4 linked regions of the Coturnix japonica genome follow. The protein of the gene in region 3 binds, or shares a complex with, the protein of the main gene of each other region. Links are inferred from orthologs where the notes say so. Each region holds a gene or a part of one and is shown on either strand. Other genes may lie near its edges.

Region 1 (4,349 bases), on a different chromosome or scaffold from region 3:
ATTTAGTGAGAAAACACTACTAAAACTGGAGCAAACAATTCAGAGAACAATTAATTCAATCTTTATGTAGGATGTATACCACTACTACAGAAAAAAATCAGTTCCTAACAAATCAGTACCTTCATAAACAACCAAGCTGCCACCACTCTGCACCCCCATCTCCAAACAGAAACGTAGGTCTCGAGAGGTAAGGTGGAATTCCCTTATATGCTCAACAATCTCACATTCGTGTAAGAGAGGTCAGCTGGCAACACTGGTGAGATGGAAATTAATTGCCCAACTTAAAAACAGACAAGAAGAATACACCTGGTATCCAATCACTAGTATTCGTTGTGTTCTCTTATGGACATGAGATACTATCCAACACCACCAGAATGATGGAGCCTTGTGTTTTATGTGGCATACCGTCAAGTAGCACCATGTCCTTTTTCTTTCTCTTGAGTACATGCACAGGAAAGAAGGAAAAGAACAAAGAAGGACATGAAACTTTTTTTATCTCAAGCCGATGAGATTCACGTTCTCCATGTCACATACGCACGCTCTGAATTTGTCTCACCTCAGGTGCCCAGTAACTTTCTTCACTCTTCAAAGGAATCACAGCACAGCCTATAAGCATCACTTGGCATTTTATGCAGCCTATCTGTAGCTACAAGAACTTATTGTGATTGCTGAAGTCATACAAGTGATTTCACACACTACTACTACTACAAATGAACCCTACATCCAGGGTAATTGAGGTCCCTTCCAACCCAGGTCATTCTGTGATTCTGTAATGCAGAAGCAGCAGAACCAACAAGCAATTCACTACTATTTTTTCCAAGAAAACAAACTGCCACCACTACAACTGCCAGCCCGAGTACAGCTCAATTATGGCACGACAAAGATACACACGTTAACTACAGTTTGGATATTTTTCTTATTTATTCAAAAGTTAGGGGATGACAAAAGGGCTAAAATGCTCGACGCCACCTGCTTATTACATGAACAAATACTGAAATCCATCAGAGACTCGTTTGACAAGCCTCTCAGTCCAAAAACCACACACAAATTAGATTTTATACACAAATGTTTATTTCCCAAATAAACAACCCCTTTAAACACAAGGAATGAAACCTAAATCTTCATAAAGATGAACGAAAAATGAAATCCCTCCTGTATACTGTAATCACTGTTTTCTTGGTCACTACTGGCTTTAACTGTTTAACATCAAAAAACAAGGACATATTTAAAAAATCATGCTACTGGATTCCTACCTCTGTCTCTGACCAGTTCTATACTCAGCTCCAATACTTTAAAACTTTACATCATCAAATCTGAAGCATTTATGTGAAGAACAGCTGTGCATTAAACACAAACAACAGAACAAGAAGATTATAAGATGTAGTCAAGTTCATAACGAATATAGGTGTTCTTTTCATCGTTATAGATCCTTGGATAATGTGCTATCAGAGCATCCTGTGAGCCAATGTAGATGGAATTATAAATCTTCCAATAAACGTCTCTGACTTTCCGGGCAGGGTGAAACAAACCCTAGAAAACAAAAAAACACTTAATCAAAGCCTCCATTCTAAAAGCCTGTTAGTGCTTTTAACCACGTTTTAAACAAGAACCATTTGAAAAGCACTGTGATAATACTTAACCATCAATTATTAGGAACAAACCACAATAAACATGTAACTATCAGTTTTGTGAGCACATAAACTAGCAAGTATTAAGGAAACATTATTTCGGAGACATTCCTTTCTTTGGTTTTTGTAGGGAGAAATTGCACTGGATCTATTTCTAACTGTTACACTCAAATACACAGAAAAGGAGCCTGCACATTCTACCTCCATGAATGCATTCACAGAAGCTGGAGAGACGAGCATGGATGCAGTGGTATAAATTGTGATCCAGGCACCATTTTCTAACACTTTGCCCTTAAACAGATTTAAACATCTTACTGTTTTCTTTGGCTAGAAAAACATAACATGGATCAAATATCAATCCTATCCTCTCTTTAATAATGCTGCTCGTTATTTGTTCTCATCACACCTTCTGCACTAATAATTTATTCCCCCAATCATTATTAGCTGTCCTCAAATTTGCATGCTTCTATTTCACAAGTCAGAGCCAATTTTTAGTCCCTTTATATTCTAACTCATTTGCTACTTCTATGCTGCTATTTCTATGCAAGTTTCCCAGGACAATCTGTTATCTCACTAAAAGAAAAGAAAGCAGTTCTCATTGCATGTTTCCATTATCAAAATCCTCAGCACAGAACAGCATGTTAAGAGATGAAAAGCCAGACTGTTTTCCTTTACTGGAAATCTCCTTCAGCTGACTTCTCATCTCCTAAAGAGAATCATAGAATGTTTGGGTTGGAAGGGACCTTTAAGATTATCTAATTCCTCCCCTCTGCTATAGGCCTCCCTCTAGAGCAGGTTGCTCTAAGCTCCCTCCCATCCCATATGCTCCCAACAGGTGACAGAAGCCTGTTTGGTAACTGCTGCCCAAGCACATACCTGCAGACAATACTGCAACATTCGGCAAGGGCCAATAGCAACTCTGAGGCCCTCCAGAGCCCCCATGACAGCCTGAATGACGTGCGGAGAGGTTTCAAACACATTAGGCCATACGTAATTTAACAAATGATTAAGAGAATCTTCGCAGCCAAACCCATAAACACCAAGAGACATGTGCTGCACCACAGCACTGGCTGTTTGTCTGTGTACAAGATCTCTGAAAAGAAAACAACGGTGTGTTAGTAAATCAAACTTAGAAGCAACAGACCTGGCCAAGCATCATGATTATTTTCAATTACATTATTTTCAAAGCATCGATATATGCTTTTAACACACATCTACTGACACTAAGAGGCAAAGTAACCAAACACAGATTAATTCAAAGGACAGTTTTCTGGCCATTACTGCGCTATAAACTCTGTAGCAAGGGGACTAACAGAAATGATTAAAAGTGGTTTTAACACAGCAAATATCAACTAAAATGGCTTTACCGTTTTCATCTTCAAAAGAGTTAGCAAAATAGGAGTATATAACCTGAATTATTTGTAATAACAATGTTTGTTACTGAGCAATTTTTAGCCAACAAGGACAAAGAGATTATTTGCTGTTAAGACCCAGTTACATATTTAATGTGACTGTGCCTAACTGGACCATACGCAGAAAGAATTGCACTCACCTGTCCATTAAAGCATCTTCAAGCAATGGCGTAACGGCATAAATATAATCTTTTCCCATCTCTCCAATATACTCAAACAGGAAAGAAAGAGATTTCAACACGCCATTCTGGACATTCAGTTCTGGAACTCTGTATTCATTCATGAGTGCAGGCAGCACTGTGAAAGGTGAGCATGTTTCAGCTACAATAGCAATGGCTACAGTAGTACATACTCTGTTCTGCCTTTCCTGTACTTTCAAGTTATTCAGCAGTGTAGCCAAGACATCGTGAGGTCTGGAAGAGAAAATACGTACACATACGTCAATATATTTGATGAGAATGCAGGTAAATTAGTTGACACTGAAACAGAAAACAGCGCAAGAATGCGGCTTAGCCCTTCAGGAAGTCCCTGAGGAACACCATAAACCATAATATAGCAACAGAGAAAAGCAAGCTCAAGACATTTCTTTTTAAATCACCTATTTTTTATTAAGAAACCAAAACACACCAACTCTCTCTCTAAACTTAGCTTTTGTTCAGCCTGTAGTTAGTTTGTAAACCAACTCCAGGAGACAGTAGTAGCCTTCCCGTTATTACTCTGATCCCACAGGTAATTAAAACTTGAAAACAATTTAACATATGAATTCCAGGTAACTTTTGACAGAGATATGCAACTAGGCACAGAGAAGCCCAGTTAGTGCATTGCTTGCTAGCTGGTTATTTCTGCTTGAAATCAATAGCTGGTCACTCATTTAAGAGTGTGCAGAGAAACAGGATTTGTGCTTCAAGCAATGATTTGCTGACTTGCAATACTTCACTGTGGAAGTAAAATAAACAAACCCCGTGCTAATCAAAAAAAGCACTGATTTAAGGAAAAATAAGAGAAACAGTAGTTAAAGGAGAGCTATGAAAGAATACAGAGAGTCTGACTGTGTATCACACTATAAAAACTCGAGCAGACAAGCATATCTTAATATCAGTTTAAACTTGCTAGCCTACCAATTCAGTTCTAAAGCATAGCACCCTACGCTATAAGAATGTGTCTACATTCTCCTACTACATAAATAAAAACCAAGTGTACACCTTTAACATGTGAGCTGTAGAGGAGTTTGAATATTTGTCTCCAGTAACATTCACAATCATCACTACGTGAGATAACTGTGTGTAGAAGTAGATAAAGCATTACACCA
Region 2 (5,339 bases), on a different chromosome or scaffold from region 3:
AGAGAAGAAGATCACGAAGCCGAGAGAGAAGGCGCTCCAGGAGCAGAAGCAGAGGCAGACGGTCTCGATCCCCCAGTCCAAGCAAGAACAGGAAGACAGAAAACAGGTATTTGTGTTCTGTAGTTACAGTCCGGATCATAGTTACTCATTACTGTAAACATACTGATATATTGGAAGGAATCATTGTGCAAAACCAACCAAAGATTTTGTGTATAGAGCAAGGAGAATTTTCCTAGCATACTGTAATTTCCCATCGCTTAATGTCCCTTGAAGGACTAAGTATTTTTATATTCCTTACTTGAGGGGCCGTAAATGCTATTCTGGGTATGCATAATTATTTCTAATGCTGTTTGTTGTGAGAATGTTTTTTGTAAGATGAGTAGTAGATCCACAAGTTCTAACAGCAGTCTGGATAGAGAACAAGCAGGTTGACAACAATCCAGAAATTATGAGCAGCTGGAATGAGTCTTTCAGGATAATCATATGGCTGGCATTAGAATTAATCTTTCAGTGGGCTGTGAAGTGATCTCAATGAGATTTAATTGGCTAAAGTGAATTTTACATTTATTGTTATGAGCTAGCAAACATTTGGTTCAGATACGTTTCTTTTTAATAGGAAACATGTTATGATAACAAAATCTGTGATAAGTGGGTTTTGTTTTAAATGGAAGTCTGCATGTTGCATACGACAAGTACTATATATATAAGTACATATAAGTACTGCTATAAGTAGCTTTTCCCAGATAGAGGTGTTTCAGTGTCCTTAAGGCAGTAGTGTGCAGAGGAACATTCAGACTTCCATAGCAGGAAGCAAGATCACTTTACCTTCTCCTAGAAATAGAAGAAACAGGACATTTTTAGTATCTCTTTTTCAAAGTGCTGCCTTCAAGGAGGTGTAGAATAAACAACAGAACCACAGTACTGAGTGTTCTGTACTGTAAATGCTGCTGCTTGGCCCTGTGAAGAAATGAGAATAGAACCAGAGCATGTGAATGAGTGAATTGCAATAGGCTGTGCATTTCTGGCAGGTGTAGGGCATGTTTCCATAAAGCAGAGAAAGATTCTCTAAAGAGATAATGTGCACTTCATAAGATGTTTGAAAACACAGCCCCATTCAGTGTGTTCGTGGTTTTGTTTCTATCCAACACGTTTATTCCCCCGTGAGAAAAAAATGTTTTAAGAAATCTTTGCTGTTACCTTTCAGATCAAGATCTAAAGAAAGGACAGAAGGTGTGGAAGTTTCCAAAGAAAAGAAAAAAGAGAAAGATGACAAGGAAGAAGAGAAGGATAAAGATGCTGGTGCATCTACTGTGGCCACTGAGGTAGGAGCTCTGAGGATAATCTTCTAACTTTTAAATGTATAAACAAGGAACTGAGGTAGCCATAGATTACTGTATTAACAAAAAAAAAAACTATTCTCAGGATTGGCCAAAATCCCTGCTGAGTTAATGAGTCCCACTCTCTTCTATAACTCCTGTCACAGGGTGTGCTTCCAATTCTTGCCATTAGTAACATTCTGTTTCTACTGTGCTGTCAGCAAGGGCTCCCCATGCATAGATGGGTCCCTTTTTTTGTTGTTCTTGAAGGATTATTACTTACAGAATTGTATACGTGCTACTGTTGTGAAAAATAAAACAGCTGAGTTTTGTATTTTAAAGCACTGTAGCTGCTTTTAGTGTTTTTTGTTTACTCCTGTTGTGATAGGTTTCTGTATGCCCATGGATCAACTTGGTGCTCAGTTACATTTGTTTGGAAAGGCTTTTTGACTGAAGAATAGACAAATGCCAGTGGCCATTAATTTTCACTGGTTGTTTCTTGCCATAGAATTTTGATCAGAACAAACTGGAAGAAGAAATGAGAAAACGAAAAGAAAGAGTGGAGAAGTGGAGGGAAGAGCAACGCAAGAAGGCAATGGAGAACATAGGAGAACTGAAAAAGGAAATTGAGGAGATGAAACAGGGGAAAAAATGGAGTTTGGAAGATGATGATGGTATTTTGATTTTAGATGTAACATTTAAAACACGTTTGTTCCTGATAATATTTTTATTATCTTTAAAGCATTTAAAGACTTTTCAAAAAGTGAACTATGAAATAGCAAAGCCTAAACCTTGTCACGGCTTCAAACATTTTAAGGTAGTGTTGAGATTAACAAATTTGAGAGATTTTTTAATGAAGAAAAATGATACAGTAATAAAAATGGACAGTAATTATTTGGGCAGGCTAACAATGTAACATAGAGTTATTTCCTCTCTGTTTTATTCCTGTTTTTCTTAATCATATTAGATGATGATGAGGAAACTGCAGAAGGAGAAAAGGAAGGCAATGAGGTTGAAGATGAAGAATTAGATCCTTTGGATGCTTATATGGAAGAAGTAAAAGAAGAAGTCAAGAAGTTCAATATGAGAAGTGTGAAGGGTGGAGGTGGGAGCGAAAAGGTAAAATTGAAAGTAGCTTTGTGTTTCAGTATGGAAATGGTTTTGGAAAAAAGAAGGGAAGAAATAGGTTAGATCCATTCAGTGATTGTTTGCCTTGAATTTTCTGATGTTATTAATAAGCTGATAGCAATATCCTCATAAAATTTCACTGCAAGAGATGTATGAAAAAACAGTGTAATATGTTCATAAGTAGAAATATTCTGTATATTTCATACAGCATGTCTTTTATGAGTGATGCAATGATTTCTATTAACTTTTTTTCTTTTTCTTTTCTTTTTTGCAGAAATCTGGACCAACTGTTACCAAAGTGGTAACCGTGGTGACAACCAAAAAGGCAGTTGTAGAGACAGAAAAGAAGAAAGGGGAACTCATGGAGAATGATCAAGATGCAATGGAGGTAATGGAAGTGTCTTGTGAGTATGTATGTGGCAGCTCAGCCTGCATGTTCTAATACATATCTAATATGAAATAAATGTTTTCTGAGGGTTTGCATTTCTGTTTCTTTTCTAGGTAAGTATAAATATGTTTAATTCCAAATGAACTGTAAGTTCCAGGTCTCAAAACTCTTCTTAAACGATAATTCTTTATTTATTTTGTGTCTGACAAATTAGTGGCATGTAGTGGCATAGTAGCTATTCTATACACTCAAATTATTATTTTTTAAATACTGTTCTCTTAATATTTGTACTGTATAGCTATGATTATTTCTGAATGACGGGACTGTTCTAGTTAGTATTTATAAAGTCATAGAAGTGATATGGAACAGTGAAAGTTAAGGTTTGGAAGAAATATGAAATAAATTGATGAGCAAATGATATGGGCTCCTCTCACAGTGAGAGCAGATTTTCAGTATCCAGTTTAATGGGCTAAGAAAAAGCTTTTGCTTCTGAGTCAAGTTTCTGTATAAACAAGTAACAGCATCTCAGAATGTCATTCACAGTAACTTAAACACTCTTAACAATCTATACAGTATTCTTCAGAAGAAGAGGAAGTTGATCTTCAGACTGCCCTGACTGGCTATCAGACCAAGCAGAGAAAGCTGCTAGAACCTGTGGATCATGGAAAAATAGAATATGAACCCTTCAGGAAAAACTTCTATGTTGAAGTACCTGAACTCGCTAAAATGACACAAGAGGGTAAGTACAAGTATGAGCAGAACACATTCTAGTGTGCAAGGAAGTAGCAAATTCTGATTCAGTGTGGAGTGCTCTTGAAGGAGCAAAGAAGTGCTGTACAGCTCAAGTCTTTGGAGTAATTTTGTTGAGAATTTGAATGGGAGAGGGGATTCTTTTTGAGCAACAGAATGAAAATGAGTCAGATCCCTATTACCGATAACCCCATGCTATCTCAAGGTAGCAGATGTCATGTTTGACTCTGTTCTAATGCAAACTCTGTTTCAGAGGTGAATGTGTACCGACTGGAGATGGAGGGAATAACAGTCAAGGGAAAAGGCTGCCCCAAACCAATAAAGACCTGGGTTCAGTGTGGTATTTCCATGAAGATTCTTACTGCTCTCAAAAAGTAAGCAAGCGATGTACAACCCAAGTCATGCTTGGTTTTGTCTACTCTGTTCTATCATACATATGTTAGTGAGAAAAACGTTCTTTGTTGCATAAAGCAACGTGTCCATGTCTGCTGGTGTTACATGTTTAGTCCTCAGTCATTTTGCAGTCAGTATTAAACGGTTGTTACAAACTGTTCTTTCAGCCATTTGTATCATGTGACTGCTCATTTTTAAGATGTTTTTAGAGTGACACCGATGCTTAGAAGTAAATAAGAACGTGCACATTTCTTCTAGCATGACTGTGATATATGTCCATCAAATCATATTTTGATCTTACAATCTCTTTTTTTGACGTTTCTCTCCCCTTCTTTAAGACACGGCTATGAGAAACCCACGCCCATTCAGAGCCAAGCTATCCCAGCAATTATGAATGGTCGCGACTTGATTGGCATTGCTAAAACAGGAAGTGGAAAAACTATCGCCTTTCTATTGCCCATGTTCAGGCATATTATGGATCAGAGAGCTTTAGAAGAAGGAGAAGGTCCCATAGGTACAAAGCTCTTGTTTTCAGAATTGCTATTTAAGTAAACAAAAGCTCGTTCTTATGCTTTGGAAGGTTCTTCAGTTTTTCTCTTGTTTGTGGGAGTGAATGCTTGCTGTTGCTATAATCCATTAATGAGCACCATGCTGTTTGTTGTTGCTTGTGGTCACTCTGCTATTTAATGCTGTATTAAGAGCACTTGCATATCTGTATCTCTGCAAGGGAGGCCTAGATTGATTTTGAAACTTCAGCACATTTTCTCATGCTGTCATAGCTCTCTTTCTTGAAATTGTATCTTTAAAATAATAGATATTAATACGCTTGGGAGCGAGCTGCATATATTTCACACAAATGCTTTGAACTTCATTACAAAAGCTTATTTTTTATTGCTTAAATAACAGCATTCCTTATATTGCAGCATATGATGGATATGCTTTGCATTTCAGCTGTCATTATGACACCTACTCGTGAGTTGGCCTTGCAGATTACCAAGGAGTGCAAGAAGTTCTCAAAGACCCTTGGACTTCGAGTTGTCTGTGTTTATGGAGGAACAGGAATAAGTGAACAGGTATGTGTTAGACATACGTTACTTGTCAAACAGCTGTTGGACTTCTTGTTAATCAATGCTACTTTTGAAGTGGATATAGTTAGTTCTCCTTCCCATAAATTCCATTATGTTTGCAACATTTATTCTGAACTTTCTCTGTATGAACAGCACCAATGTAAAAGGTTAAATGTTTGCATGTAACTTAGTTCTAAACGTAGCAATATGTTTGAAAATTCTGAAAAGTGGTCTTTAATATTTCAGACTGTTTCTTTTTATATATGCACCGAGCATAACGATAATTAAACTACTTTT
Region 3 (5,339 bases):
CGGTGCTTGTATGAATACCTTGAAGGGGTTTTTAGGATAAATTTTAGACACCGTAGAGCTTATTATTGTGTATTTTTGGTGTGACGTTTGGTGCTAGCTCTGAATCTGCTTGTACAGGTGTATTACAGAGTGGAGTGGGCAAAGTTCCAGGAGCGAGAGAGAAAGAAGGAAGAGGAAGAGAAGGAGAAGGAGCGTGTTGCTTATGCTCAGATTGATTGGCATGATTTTGTGGTTGTGGAAACAGTGGACTTTCAGCCCAACGAGCAAGGTACTGAAGACAGGCATTGTAACCTCTTGGAACTGTACTTCCTCTGAGCAGAGCATTGGTTTTAGGAAGACATGGGATTTTACAGCTGTGTAGCCTTCAAAATGGAAAGGATAGCTTCCTAATGATGGGATAGGGCTGAGTTTCTTCTGGAATCAAGTAGTATTCTGTGGCAGTGTCTGCTTTTCCATCTTGAAGCGGGACAGCAAAACTTGTCCCATATTCTGGTGGTGCTTTCACCTATAAATGTCTTCATCTCCAGCTGTTGTTATAGTGTTAGTCTGGACAGAGTTTAAAACAGAGTGACTATATGCCTCTAAAATGGCTAAAAAAAAAAAAAACCAACAACAAAACGAAACCAAAAACTGTTTCTCAAGAAATTGGTGCTTCTGTCTTCCCATTATGCAATCAAATGGGACCAAGAAACAAAAGCTGTGTTTTTTGCACTGTAGGGAATTTCCCACCTCCCACCACTCCAGAAGAGCTGGGAGCTCGAATCCTCATCCAGGAGCGCTATGAGAAGTTTGGGGAAAGTGAAGAGGTAGAGATGGAGGTGGAGTCAGATGAAGAAGATGAAAAACAAGAGAAAACAGATGAGCCTCCAACCCAGCTGGATCAAGACACGCAAGTGCAGGATATGGATGAGGTAGGTAGCCAACAGAATTGGCATTATTCTTGCCCTGTGAGATTTGTGTGGGGTTTATTACGTCTTCATTATAATACGTTGCTCAGTATATTGAGGGAATTGAGATTTCCTTCCGATTGAGTTTAAAAATGACCTGTTTCTGCTGAAATACTGGAATATGGTGTATTTAATATTCTCTGTGGCAATACAATTTACAAGAGAAATCTGGGAATTCAGTCACCCGGTGAATTGATGTGAGGTTATTTCTGTCATCCAGTCTTCTAAATTTTCTTACACACTAGGGTCTGGAATGTTGAAAAGATGTCTCATTTCAGACTCTTCCTTTTAACCACTGCATATAATCAGTTTTTCTGTTAGCAAGAAACAAGATCATTGAGACTAACTGTAAGCCCTGGCTTGCCATGCTGTGGTAATGTGGAAGCTGAGGCTTACTTACTTCCTTTTTTGGGTCTGCTTAATTTTTGAGTTTGTGATTACCAAAGGAACCACTGTAGTAGAGGTGTCAAGAGGCGAAATAGCTCAGTTACTCTGAAGCTGCATAATCAGTCCTTGTGGTTTTGCATAGGATTTTTTATGGTGCTCTCAAGTCTTTTATGGGGCTTTTTGACTACTGGAGCATGGTTATGATTTTCTTTCTTTAAATCAGGGTTCAGATGATGAAGATGAAAGTCAGAAAGTTCCTCCTCCTCCAGAAACTCCAATGCCACCACCTCTTCCTCCCACACCAGATCAGGTCATTGTGCGGAAAGATTACGATCCCAAAGGTAAATCAAGCTGGCAAAGATCAGCTGTATTTCTTAACGAATGATCACAAAGGCGTTTGTTTCTAGGCTGCATTTTCTGGTGGTGTGCTTTTAACAGTGTGGTTTTGTTTTTCCAGCTTCAAAACCGTTACCGCCTGCCCCAGCTCCAGATGAGTATCTTGTTTCCCCCATCACTGGGGAGAAAATCCCTGCCAGTAAAATGCAAGAGCACATGCGAATTGGTCTGCTGGATCCTCGGTGGCTGGAGCAGCGCGATCGGTCTATCCGTGAAAAACAGAGTGACGACGAGGTCTATGCCCCAGGTCAGCTTGTGCATCATTGACAAGGCTTGCGAGTTCCCCATCCTAAATTCCTTCTGTGAACATTTTAGTGTGTCTCCTCTCCCCCGAGTTCCTGCTGATAGGGACTGTTTTAAATGTAGCTTTCTGTCTTATGTCCTTAGTGTTCTGATTATCCTGATACTTTTGTTGCTAGTACATCAAAGCCTTTCTGCAAAGATAAGAGCAGAGCATTAGCTGCTGCTGGCCAGTCGTCAGTTGCAGTCCCTTTCTGAAAAGAGGAGCTCTAGGCCATTAGGTAGCAAATAGTTTTAAAGATCATATAGTCAAGGATCAAGTCTCTTTTTATCACTTAGAGGAAGAATTTCTTCTTGCTTGCAGGTTTGGATATTGAAAGCAGCTTGAAGCAGCTGGCAGAGCGCCGTACCGATATCTTTGGTGTGGAAGAAACTGCCATTGGTAAGAAGATTGGTGAAGAGGAAATTCAGAAACCAGAGGAAAAGGTAGAGTGGAAACTGCTTTAATAGGTTCTTGTAGTATTACGAATGCTCAGGATTCTTTTAGACCTTACTACTGTTGTAAAACTGTTGTGCTGATCTCTCTGTAGTTCTCATTATAGTCTGCCCAGGCTGGGATTGCTCTGATGTTTTTTTTATCCTGACAGGTGACCTGGGATGGCCACTCAGGCAGCATGGCCCGCACACAACAGGCTGCTCAAGCCAATATTACTCTTCAAGAGCAAATTGAAGCTATCCATAAGGCCAAGGGACTGGTGCCAGAAGATGACAGCAAGGAGAAGATTGGTCCCAGCAAACCCAATGAAATGCCCCAGCCACCCCCTCCTTCATCGGCATCGAATCCTCCTCCGAGTGCTCAGCCTATCACTTCTGTGCCTCGTCCACCCACAGTAAGTGCTGGGGCTTCCATAAGTAAAGCAGCTGTGGGCATGGATAATTGGAAGGAAGTCCTGACAAAGCTCCACAGTTACAGCAGTGTACTGGCTAGAAACAGATGTTGGGAGAAGTTAGTATTCCAAACTGCTCTTAAGCCTTCGTAGGATCCTTATTAAACTTGCAGTTAAAAACTGAAAATAAGGTCTAGGTGGAGTTATTAATCCTTAGCTGTATCAAGAAGACTCAATGGGTTGCACAGGGGAAGAGCCTGGGTGGTGATGCCTTGGGAGAGGGAAGTATGGCTAACAAATGAATGGATTGGGACCTTTTCTTTTTTAAAACATTTAAAAAAAATAAAGAGATGAGGCAGAAAAACTAAGAAGTGGCAGATAAGAAATGTTCACTGATGACTCACTGCCCGTGTTCTCCTGGAGTAAGGGCTTTGCTGCAACTCTTTCTCTAAGATCGCTGCATGTCTCACAGTCCCTGCAGCTGAGAGGAGGAAGAATTGCTTGATGTGTTAATGAGGTTCTGTGCCTGTTTGCAGGAGGCTCAGGCTGGCCATACGGTGGGCTTGTTAAGGCTCCCAGCAGGCCTTTGCCTGGTAGAAATCCTCACTGTGTTGCCCTGGTGATTTTAATTTAATCAGAACTGTGGGCAGCACTGGGATGCTCATTCCTGCGTGCAATTGCTAAGATAAAATGACCTTCTCTCTGCAGATGCCTCCTCCTGTTCGTGCTGCTGTTGTTTCTGCTGTTCCTGTCATGCCTCGTCCCCCGATGACCTCCGTGGTCCGTTTGCCTCCAGGGTCTGTCATAGCCACCCCCATGCCACCAATAATCCACACCCCACGGATCAATGTTGTCCCCATGCCGCCGTCTGCTCCTCCCATCATGAGCCCTCGCCCACCTCCCATGATAGTACCAACGGGTCAGTGACTTCAGCTCTTTCCAGTTAATTGTCAGTTGATTCCTGTCTGGCGTGGGCTTGAGGCTTGATTCCTTTTTCCCTTTGTGTCTGTAATAGTGGTGTATAATTGGCACTGCAAACCATAAATATAATCTTTTAAGGTTTTTTTTTAATGTTTAGTGTGACTTACCTTATAGCATGACTTCTGGGATTGTCATCTGCTCGAGTGTGGGAGTTCAGTCTTGTTGGTGGGATGCTTTATCTTGGTGTCCCTGGGAGTCTGATTGGGTGAACACTACAAATCCCTGCAGCTTTCCAAGAGGAACCAGAGTAAAGTGGATCTGCCAACACCTCACTGAGTGTTACAGTTTGTTAGGGAAGTTACTGCTGCCAGAGGAAAAGCTGTTATCTGGCTCTGGCTCTGTTCTTTGTAGTGGCTGCATAGCATTGTGGTGGTTTTAAGTTAAGCACAACATAAAAACACTTCTGTCTTGGTTTTTTTTTTCCCTTTTCCTTTTTATTTAAATTGAGGTGCTGGCTGCTAAATTCAGAGCGTTTTCTTTTCTGCAAGATCTGCAGGAAGCTCCCATTCTGCTTGTTGTTTTTTTTCCTGGACTCTCTCCCCTTGTGGAAGATCTTATGTTTGAAGTTCGCATGGTACTGCAGGCTATATTAACTTCTTGCATGAATGGCAACATTTATTTTCAGTCTTTGTTAGTCTGCTAAAAGAGTTCGTGTAAGGGAGTATCTGCTGTATGCTCAGTGGATGACTGTGTGTTGTGCTTTCCCTCATCCCATTCCAGCATTTGTTCCAGCACCTCCCGTGGCTCCAGTTCCTTCCCCAGCGCCAATGCCTCCTGTTCACCCACCACCACCTATGGAGGATGAGCCAGTTTCAAAGAAACTGAAGAGCGAGGACAGCTTGATTCCAGAGGAGGAGTTTCTGCGCAGGAACAAGGTATGTGTGCGAGTGAACTCTCTGCTTGTTGAGAAGTGGAGTCCTGGCCCTGCTGAGCTGTTCAGCCTCCTGTGCTCAGAGGGGTTGTAAAGTCCATTGAGAACACAGAGGGGAGCTGATGTATTTCAAAAGAAAGTGACTTGCTGAGATGGCTCCTTCCTACTGTCATACCTGAACTGCCCTATATTTTACTACAAGGAGCGATGTAGTGCTGCACACAGATGGTGCTGTTCTGTAATTAACAGCAGTGAGAAGTAGGGTTATAGTAATGTAAAGAAGAGATAATGCTGATAAGCTTTTAAGTAGAAGACTGTTAAGCTGGAGGTGCAAGGAGATTTAATATATCAATGTCAACATGGTAGTATGGCAATGTAATATCTTCCGTAACATGAATGAAATGTTAGACTGAATTCCTTTCTGAGTAACAGCATCATGTTGGGTTGGGTCTTAAGCCCTTTAAGAAGGGAGCACTGTTCTCCTGTGCATTTGTTTGCATTATGAAGCCATCTCTTTAGTACCACCGTGTTCACTGCAAAATACTCTGACTTTCAAGATATGTGATTAATATTGGGAAGGTCTGTAAATACTTTGTCTGCTGCTCTTATCGCAGTCCTGAGACTCCTTGC
Region 4 (5,988 bases), on a different chromosome or scaffold from region 3:
TCCCTATCGGTCAAGGACAAGAATGCTGGCAGAAAAAACCCCTCTAAACATCTGCACAAAGGCTGAGAGCAGAGACCAGGAGGATCCTTTTTGCTCCAGACACTAAGAATTCAATGGCTCCCCAGAGCTCAACGCAGAGCCCGGTTTTCATGCCAGAGTCCTCCAGTAATTCTCAAGCAGAGTTTAACAACTTCCAGTCGTGTCTTCTTCACCTTCCTTTCCAGGCCATTAACCTCCCCAAAGGCTAAAACAGAACAAGTCTATGACGGCCATCACTGGGAACTAATGTCCTGGAAAATATGGGAACTCTCCCTGCCATCAGTCAGTCCCAAACATTACCTTGAAGGCGATGGTTTCGTAGGGCTCTGCTGCCATCAGGAGGTATTGCCAGCGCCGATCAGGGGGCTCAATCCTTTGCTCATACGCTGACATGAAGCGATGGCGAGGCATGATGCTTTCTGCGATCTCCGGGTAATCGATCTGTTGGGGTATTATGGCAGGTTTACAACACTCCTCCATACAGAACAAACTCTTCAGCTATGCAAGAATTCAAGGGAAGCTTCTGACTGCTCATTTAGCCACGTTTTTACTTGGATAACCCAGAAACCAAGAATCTGATCTTACCTGGAAGAGAAGGCTCTGCTGGCCTGTCTCTGGATCTCTCTGTTTGGTCACTATAGAGAAAATAAGAAAGCTCAGTACACTACATAAAGGTCAGTACAGTATTACTTCAGCCCTAGGAAGATCCAAACAGCAAAACATGACAGGATTTTGTTTCCTATTTATTAAATAAAATGCCACAATGCCTTCAGCCAAAGTTCCTGAGGGTATCTACTGAAATGCAGCTGCTGTGGGGCACAGACACTGACACAATATGCATGGAGATAAAGAAGCCATGTCTTGTACTGAAGGCCAAAATGAAACAGAGGGGAAAAAAACTGAGTTATACATCCAGTGGGTGACTTGTGAGCAATAGTATATTGCTCTGCCATAATAGAGATGGCAGAGCACAATAAAAGGGAAAGAGAGACTGAAGCAATGCCACCATCTCCCATATGACTACAGTAAGAACTGACAGAGACTGAGACGTACTGATCTATTATTAAAATGGCTCTCACTCGACTGTCAGCAATAAAGAGACAACCCATGGGTAATTTAAACAATAAAGGACATCAGGAGATAAGCCCATATCTTATTTATGGATAGCTCTGCTAAAAAGGCTGATGAACAATTCATGCCCACAGCACTGCACTTCAAGCAAGCTCCAGCAGCCACGGGGTATCTGCTATGACAGGCACTGCTGACAAACCTTTGTAACCTGGTCGTCCAATTTTCACAAACTTCTTCACTTCCACTTTGACTTTTTCTGGTGCAGGTTGGGCAGGAGCTTCCTTTGCTTCCTTGGCAGCTCGACGAGCCCTGGGTTCATTGGAAACGCGCAGTGTTAAATGGTTATCAGCACTTGGTTCTGAAGGATACTCTAAAAGGCAGAGTGAGTTCTGTATGACGGAGCATTCAGCACTTCACAGAAAGCATAATGGGAAACTGCTGCTCCTCCTCCACAAGCACCATGGGAGGCCAGTTCCACTCCTTGCCTTGACTACAATCTGTCACCTCCATCACCTCACCCACTCCTAAGAGGACTTTGATGTCCAGCTCCACAGATGGAGCTGAGATGACTTCTTAAAAGTCAAAAAGGAAATGAATTACACAAGCCAGGTATCTAAAGCAGAGCAAACCTGAATTCTTAGATTAAAGCTTACAAACTTTTCTCAAGCTGTATTCATAAAACAGCTTCCCTTACAGTTATACTTAATCTAAATGCCATAGCTGGCTTTGAAGTGGAGCTTGTCAGCACCACTGTTCAGAGCAGAGCTGGTGAATGCCTAGGAAACAAACAGAGACAAAGAGCATTCAAGCCCAGAGTGCTACTACATGATGGAGGCCAAGATTTATAGGTGCTCATTATCTAATTTTAATGTGCCCAAGTAATGGAGAATAACACGGTGGAGAATGACTTACAGATTGGTCTGATGCTTCTTCCCCTGCGTATGTGCCAGGTAACTTCCCTGGGGGGAAAAGAAAGTTATGAAGACTGAACTGTTCCTGAACAGAAAGATATTTGTCACAGATGAGAGGTGACATTTCACACTGACAAAGATATTTTAATCCTCAGAGCACAGCAGAATCAAACTCACAAATTTCAGATTGCTCACAACTGCTGAACTGTCAGAAACTTGTCATGCTTAACACACACAGCCTCTGCTCCCCCCATTGGCCCTCCAGCAATCAGCCAACGGGAACAGCTTCGGTTCCAGCACTTGGAGCTAGAATTAGTCTAAAATATCTGCTGCCATGGAGATCAAGACAGACAGCTGCTCAACTCACCTCATTGTTATGGAGCGTCAGGCAAAGCTTGCATTCATAAGAACCCAAGTGATTTTTCATAAAATAGGGGTCCTAGGAAGAGAAGGATTGAAAAGTTACATGTAAAATCTGCATTGGAACAACTGAACAACCGAGATTCTAAAGCAGAGCTGCACTGTAAGAACTCTATGAGCTCATGGAGTGAAGGGATCAGCACAACACTGCTTTAGGAATATAGAGAAAAAGGAACAAGAGCAGTTGTGTTCACTGGTAACAGCACACCCAACTGCAGCATAATAAGAACCAGTGCCAAGACTGAACATAACAGAAGCCCAGTGCTGGTATCCCTCTGCTTGGCCCTTCCACATGTTGCTCGAGTCCCTCATCAGTGGGAACAGAAGTATTTATTCCACTCCACAGATCCCCACTAAACCTCTCACTCTCTGCTGAGATGAAGCCCTGACCTCACCCCATGTAGCCTGCAGGACTGGGGCTCACCTTGTTGATGTCAATGGTCTCCAAAGCCAGTTGCCGAAGCCTCTCCCTGCGGTCTCGGTTGCTTTCTGAGGCTGAAGCTACGCCTCCACTCCCCGTTTTACCTCCAGGACGGTGCTGAAAATCCATGGTGGGGATTTCTGGGCTTTGGAGACTTCAGGAGAAAAATAAAATAAAAGTCTGGAAAAATGAAGAAAAGACACATAAGTGACAACACAGCCCTAAGCTGGGCCTCGCATTGAGCCCTGCCACGAGGACACGGCCCAGGCACTGCCATTACCTCAGCAAGAGACAAAACCACCCCCAGCCCACCTCTACCCTCTCACACAGGGTCACACACCCCCCAGCCACTAACATGGGGGTCACAACCCCCCAGACACCCCCTCACCCCCCTCTAAACACCCCCATTCCCTCAGCGAGCACCAAAGCTCACCTCAAAGCCCCCTACAAACACCCCCCGAACTCTCCATGCCACTTATAGCCCCCCAGTTTCCTTTTGGAGGGTCCTGTCCCTCCACTAAGAACCCCTCTAAGCCCCCTCACCCCCCTCATTCTCCAGTGCAGGTCACAGGCTCCATAGGTTCCATAGGCCCCACAGGCTCCATAGGTTCCATAGGCCCCACAGGCTCCATAGGTTCCATAGGCCCCACAGGCTCCATAGGCCCCACAGGCTCCATAGGCCCCACAGGCTCCAAATAGGCCCATATGCCACAGCCTCTATAGGCCCCATAGGCTGCACATGCCCCATAGGCCCCACAGCCTCCACAGCCCCCACAGGTTCCATAGGCCTCACAGGCCCCACAGGTTCCATAAGCTCCATAGGCCCCACAGGCTCTATAGGCCCCACAGGCCCTTATTCCCTTAGCGACGGTCACTGCCCCGAAACAATCCCCCACAGGGCCCAAGACCCCCCTCCAGACCACCCCATCCCCTCAATGAGGGTCTCACTCCCCCATATCCCCCCTTTAAGCCCCACATCCCCTCCCCCTAAATCCCCCATACCGCCGTGCTCAGCCCCGCTCCCGGCGCATGCGCTCTGCCCTCCCCCTTCCATCCCCTCTAGTTCCGGATAGAGCACTACCGGGTCGGGTATGGGTGGTTGTAGGGTTGGGGTGGTTGTAGGGTTAGGGGTGGTTTGTAGGGTTGGGGTGGTCGTTTGGGGTCCGACATGAGGTACAACGAACGGGAGCTTGCTGTCCTGTCCAGGCAACCGGCAGAGAAAGCGGCAGAGATCCATGATGAGGGTCCCCAAGAAGGGGCAGCGGTAGAGGGGGGGGTGGGAAGGGGGTGAGGGTGGAAGATGGGGGGGTTAATTGGGGGTGGGAATGGGGAGTGATGGATTGAGGTGTGGGATGGGGGTAATGGGGTGGGGGTGGGATGGGGTGGGGTAATGGGATGGAAACTGGGGGTATTGGGATGGGGCTGTTGGAATTGGGGGTGCTGGGGCAAGAGCTGGGGTGTTGGGATGGGGGTTGTTGGATAGAGCTGGAGGTGTTGGGATGGTGGTAAGGGATGGAATTGGGGTAATTGGGATGGGGGTATTGGGAATGGAACTGGGGTATTGGATGGGGTATTGGCATAGAGCCTGGGGGTGTTGGGATGGGGGTATTGGGATGGAACTGGGGGTATTAGGATGGGGCTGTTGGAATGGGGGTGCTGGGGCAGAGCTGGGGTTTTGTTTGGGATGGGGTATTGGGATGGGGGTATTGGATATGAGCTGGGGGTGGGATGGGGATGGGGGTGTTGGGGTGATAGGATGATGGGATGGGGGTAATGGGATGGAACTGGGGTTATTGGGATGGGGGTAATGGGATGGGGGTATTGGGATAATGCTGGGGGTGTTGGGGTGGGGACAGGAGTATTGGGATGGGGGTAATGGGATGGAACTGGGGGTATTGGGATGGGGGTGTTGGGATAGAGCTGGGGGTGTTGGGATGGTGGTAATGGGATGGAATTGGGGGTATTGGGATGGGAGTACTGGGTCAGAGCTGGGGGTGCTGGGATTGGGGTATTAGGATGGAGCTGGAGGTGCTGGGATGGGAGTATTGGGATGGAAGCACAGGGATCAGAACGGTGTACTGGGATAGGAGCGCTGGGATGACAATGGAAGTCCTGGGGTGGAAGCACTGGGATGGAAATGGAGATGCTGGGAGTGCTGGGATGGTTTGGGGGCCCCACACACGCTGGGCTCGCTGTCACATCACTCCTTTCCTTCTTCAGTGTTAAAGAAGCGCCTCGTGAAGCTCGTGGTGAACTTTCTCTTCTACTTCAGGACGGATGAAGCTGAGGTTCGGATCCTGCTGCTCCTCACACACACACAGATACACACACGCACCTTTTTGCTTCACGTTTATCACGTGTGCTCTGTGGATCAGTGCAACACGGCGTCCTCCCTTCCCCCTGCACAGTTCAGGCTCCTCGGTGGGGGTGAGGAGAAGCAGTGCCAGCAAACCACACCCTGCTGCTTTCTACAAACACAACCATCGCCCTACAGCAGCAAAAGCTGGACTCTGTCTCGTGTAGTTACAGACCTCACATAAAACCGAGGCTGCTAAAGATCCTCCTGTTCTAAAGATCCTGAATCAGCACAGAATAACCTTTATAATGAATATTTAACCCCGATCACGGCTCAGCTCTGTGCTGAGAAATGCTCTTTTCTTGTTTCTGTGGGTAACTGCCAACGTAGAACTGATGCACTGGAAACTGGCCCTCAAACAGGTGCTTCAGCACCAACGGCTGCTGCCTGATTCACAGTCAACCCCCCATTGAAATCCTATGTCCAAACTAAACAAAAAGCGAGAGGTTTTCATTTGTGGCTCATTCCACCCTGTGGTTCTCATGTCCTTGCTCAGTATGTGCTGGCTGGCAGCCTGTCCCTACAACTGCTTCCTTGTCCTGAGCTGTTCTTCATCCACACACACTGTTCTTTAACCTCCTGCAAAGCTCGAAGGCCGCCCTTAGGAAGTCAAATGTTAAACAGTTTATCTTTGTTCGATTTACTCTGCAAGGAAGTAAACTTTATCGCTGCCTTTGCGGGACAGAAAGGAATACTCAAACCCACATTGATTGTGAGCACACAGAGACTCTTTAGAGGACACTCTGTAAGCTCCATGGGTTCAGAACACT

Evidence for each region.
Region 1: SF3A1 (region 3) and SF3B1 share a complex: the UniProt entries of both Homo sapiens proteins name them as parts of the 17S U2 SnRNP complex. The link is inferred for Coturnix japonica from reciprocal best matches to the Homo sapiens genes SF3A1 and SF3B1.
Region 2: SF3A1 (region 3) and DDX46 share a complex: the UniProt entries of both Homo sapiens proteins name them as parts of the 17S U2 SnRNP complex. The link is inferred for Coturnix japonica from reciprocal best matches to the Homo sapiens genes SF3A1 and DDX46.
Region 4: SF3A1 (region 3) and SF3A2 share a complex: the UniProt entries of both Homo sapiens proteins name them as parts of the SF3A subcomplex of the 17S U2 SnRNP complex. The link is inferred for Coturnix japonica from reciprocal best matches to the Homo sapiens genes SF3A1 and SF3A2.

What each region holds. Positions count from the first base shown.
Region 1 is NC_029522.1:44,101-48,449, reverse strand, and holds the end of SF3B1 (splicing factor 3B subunit 1), read right to left. Parts: intron 3,454-4,349; coding exon 3,181-3,453; intron 2,722-3,180; coding exon 2,505-2,721; intron 1,531-2,504; coding exon 1,372-1,530; 3' UTR 1,049-1,371; downstream 1-1,048. UniProt on the Homo sapiens protein: Component of the 17S U2 SnRNP complex of the spliceosome, a large ribonucleoprotein complex that removes introns from transcribed pre-mRNAs.
Region 2 is NC_029528.1:2,452,544-2,457,882, forward strand, and holds part of DDX46 (probable ATP-dependent RNA helicase DDX46), read left to right. Parts: coding exon 1-106; intron 107-1,204; coding exon 1,205-1,322; intron 1,323-1,824; coding exon 1,825-1,990; intron 1,991-2,283; coding exon 2,284-2,435; intron 2,436-2,718; coding exon 2,719-2,832; intron 2,833-3,405; coding exon 3,406-3,571; intron 3,572-3,835; coding exon 3,836-3,956; intron 3,957-4,313; coding exon 4,314-4,489; intron 4,490-4,926; coding exon 4,927-5,048; intron 5,049-5,339. UniProt on the Homo sapiens protein: Component of the 17S U2 SnRNP complex of the spliceosome, a large ribonucleoprotein complex that removes introns from transcribed pre-mRNAs.
Region 3 is NC_029530.1:9,662,917-9,668,255, forward strand, and holds part of SF3A1 (splicing factor 3A subunit 1), read left to right. Parts: intron 1-117; coding exon 118-268; intron 269-717; coding exon 718-911; intron 912-1,557; coding exon 1,558-1,675; intron 1,676-1,791; coding exon 1,792-1,977; intron 1,978-2,334; coding exon 2,335-2,456; intron 2,457-2,617; coding exon 2,618-2,860; intron 2,861-3,565; coding exon 3,566-3,776; intron 3,777-4,558; coding exon 4,559-4,713; intron 4,714-5,339. UniProt on the Homo sapiens protein: Component of the 17S U2 SnRNP complex of the spliceosome, a large ribonucleoprotein complex that removes introns from transcribed pre-mRNAs.
Region 4 is NC_029543.1:1,223,494-1,229,481, forward strand, and holds the start of SF3A2 (splicing factor 3A subunit 2), read right to left. Parts: upstream 3,922-5,988; 5' UTR 3,865-3,921; intron 3,043-3,864; 5' UTR 2,992-3,042; coding exon 2,866-2,991; intron 2,461-2,865; coding exon 2,389-2,460; intron 2,070-2,388; coding exon 2,023-2,069; intron 1,420-2,022; coding exon 1,310-1,419; intron 675-1,309; coding exon 625-674; intron 481-624; coding exon 340-480; intron 1-339. UniProt on the Homo sapiens protein: Component of the 17S U2 SnRNP complex of the spliceosome, a large ribonucleoprotein complex that removes introns from transcribed pre-mRNAs.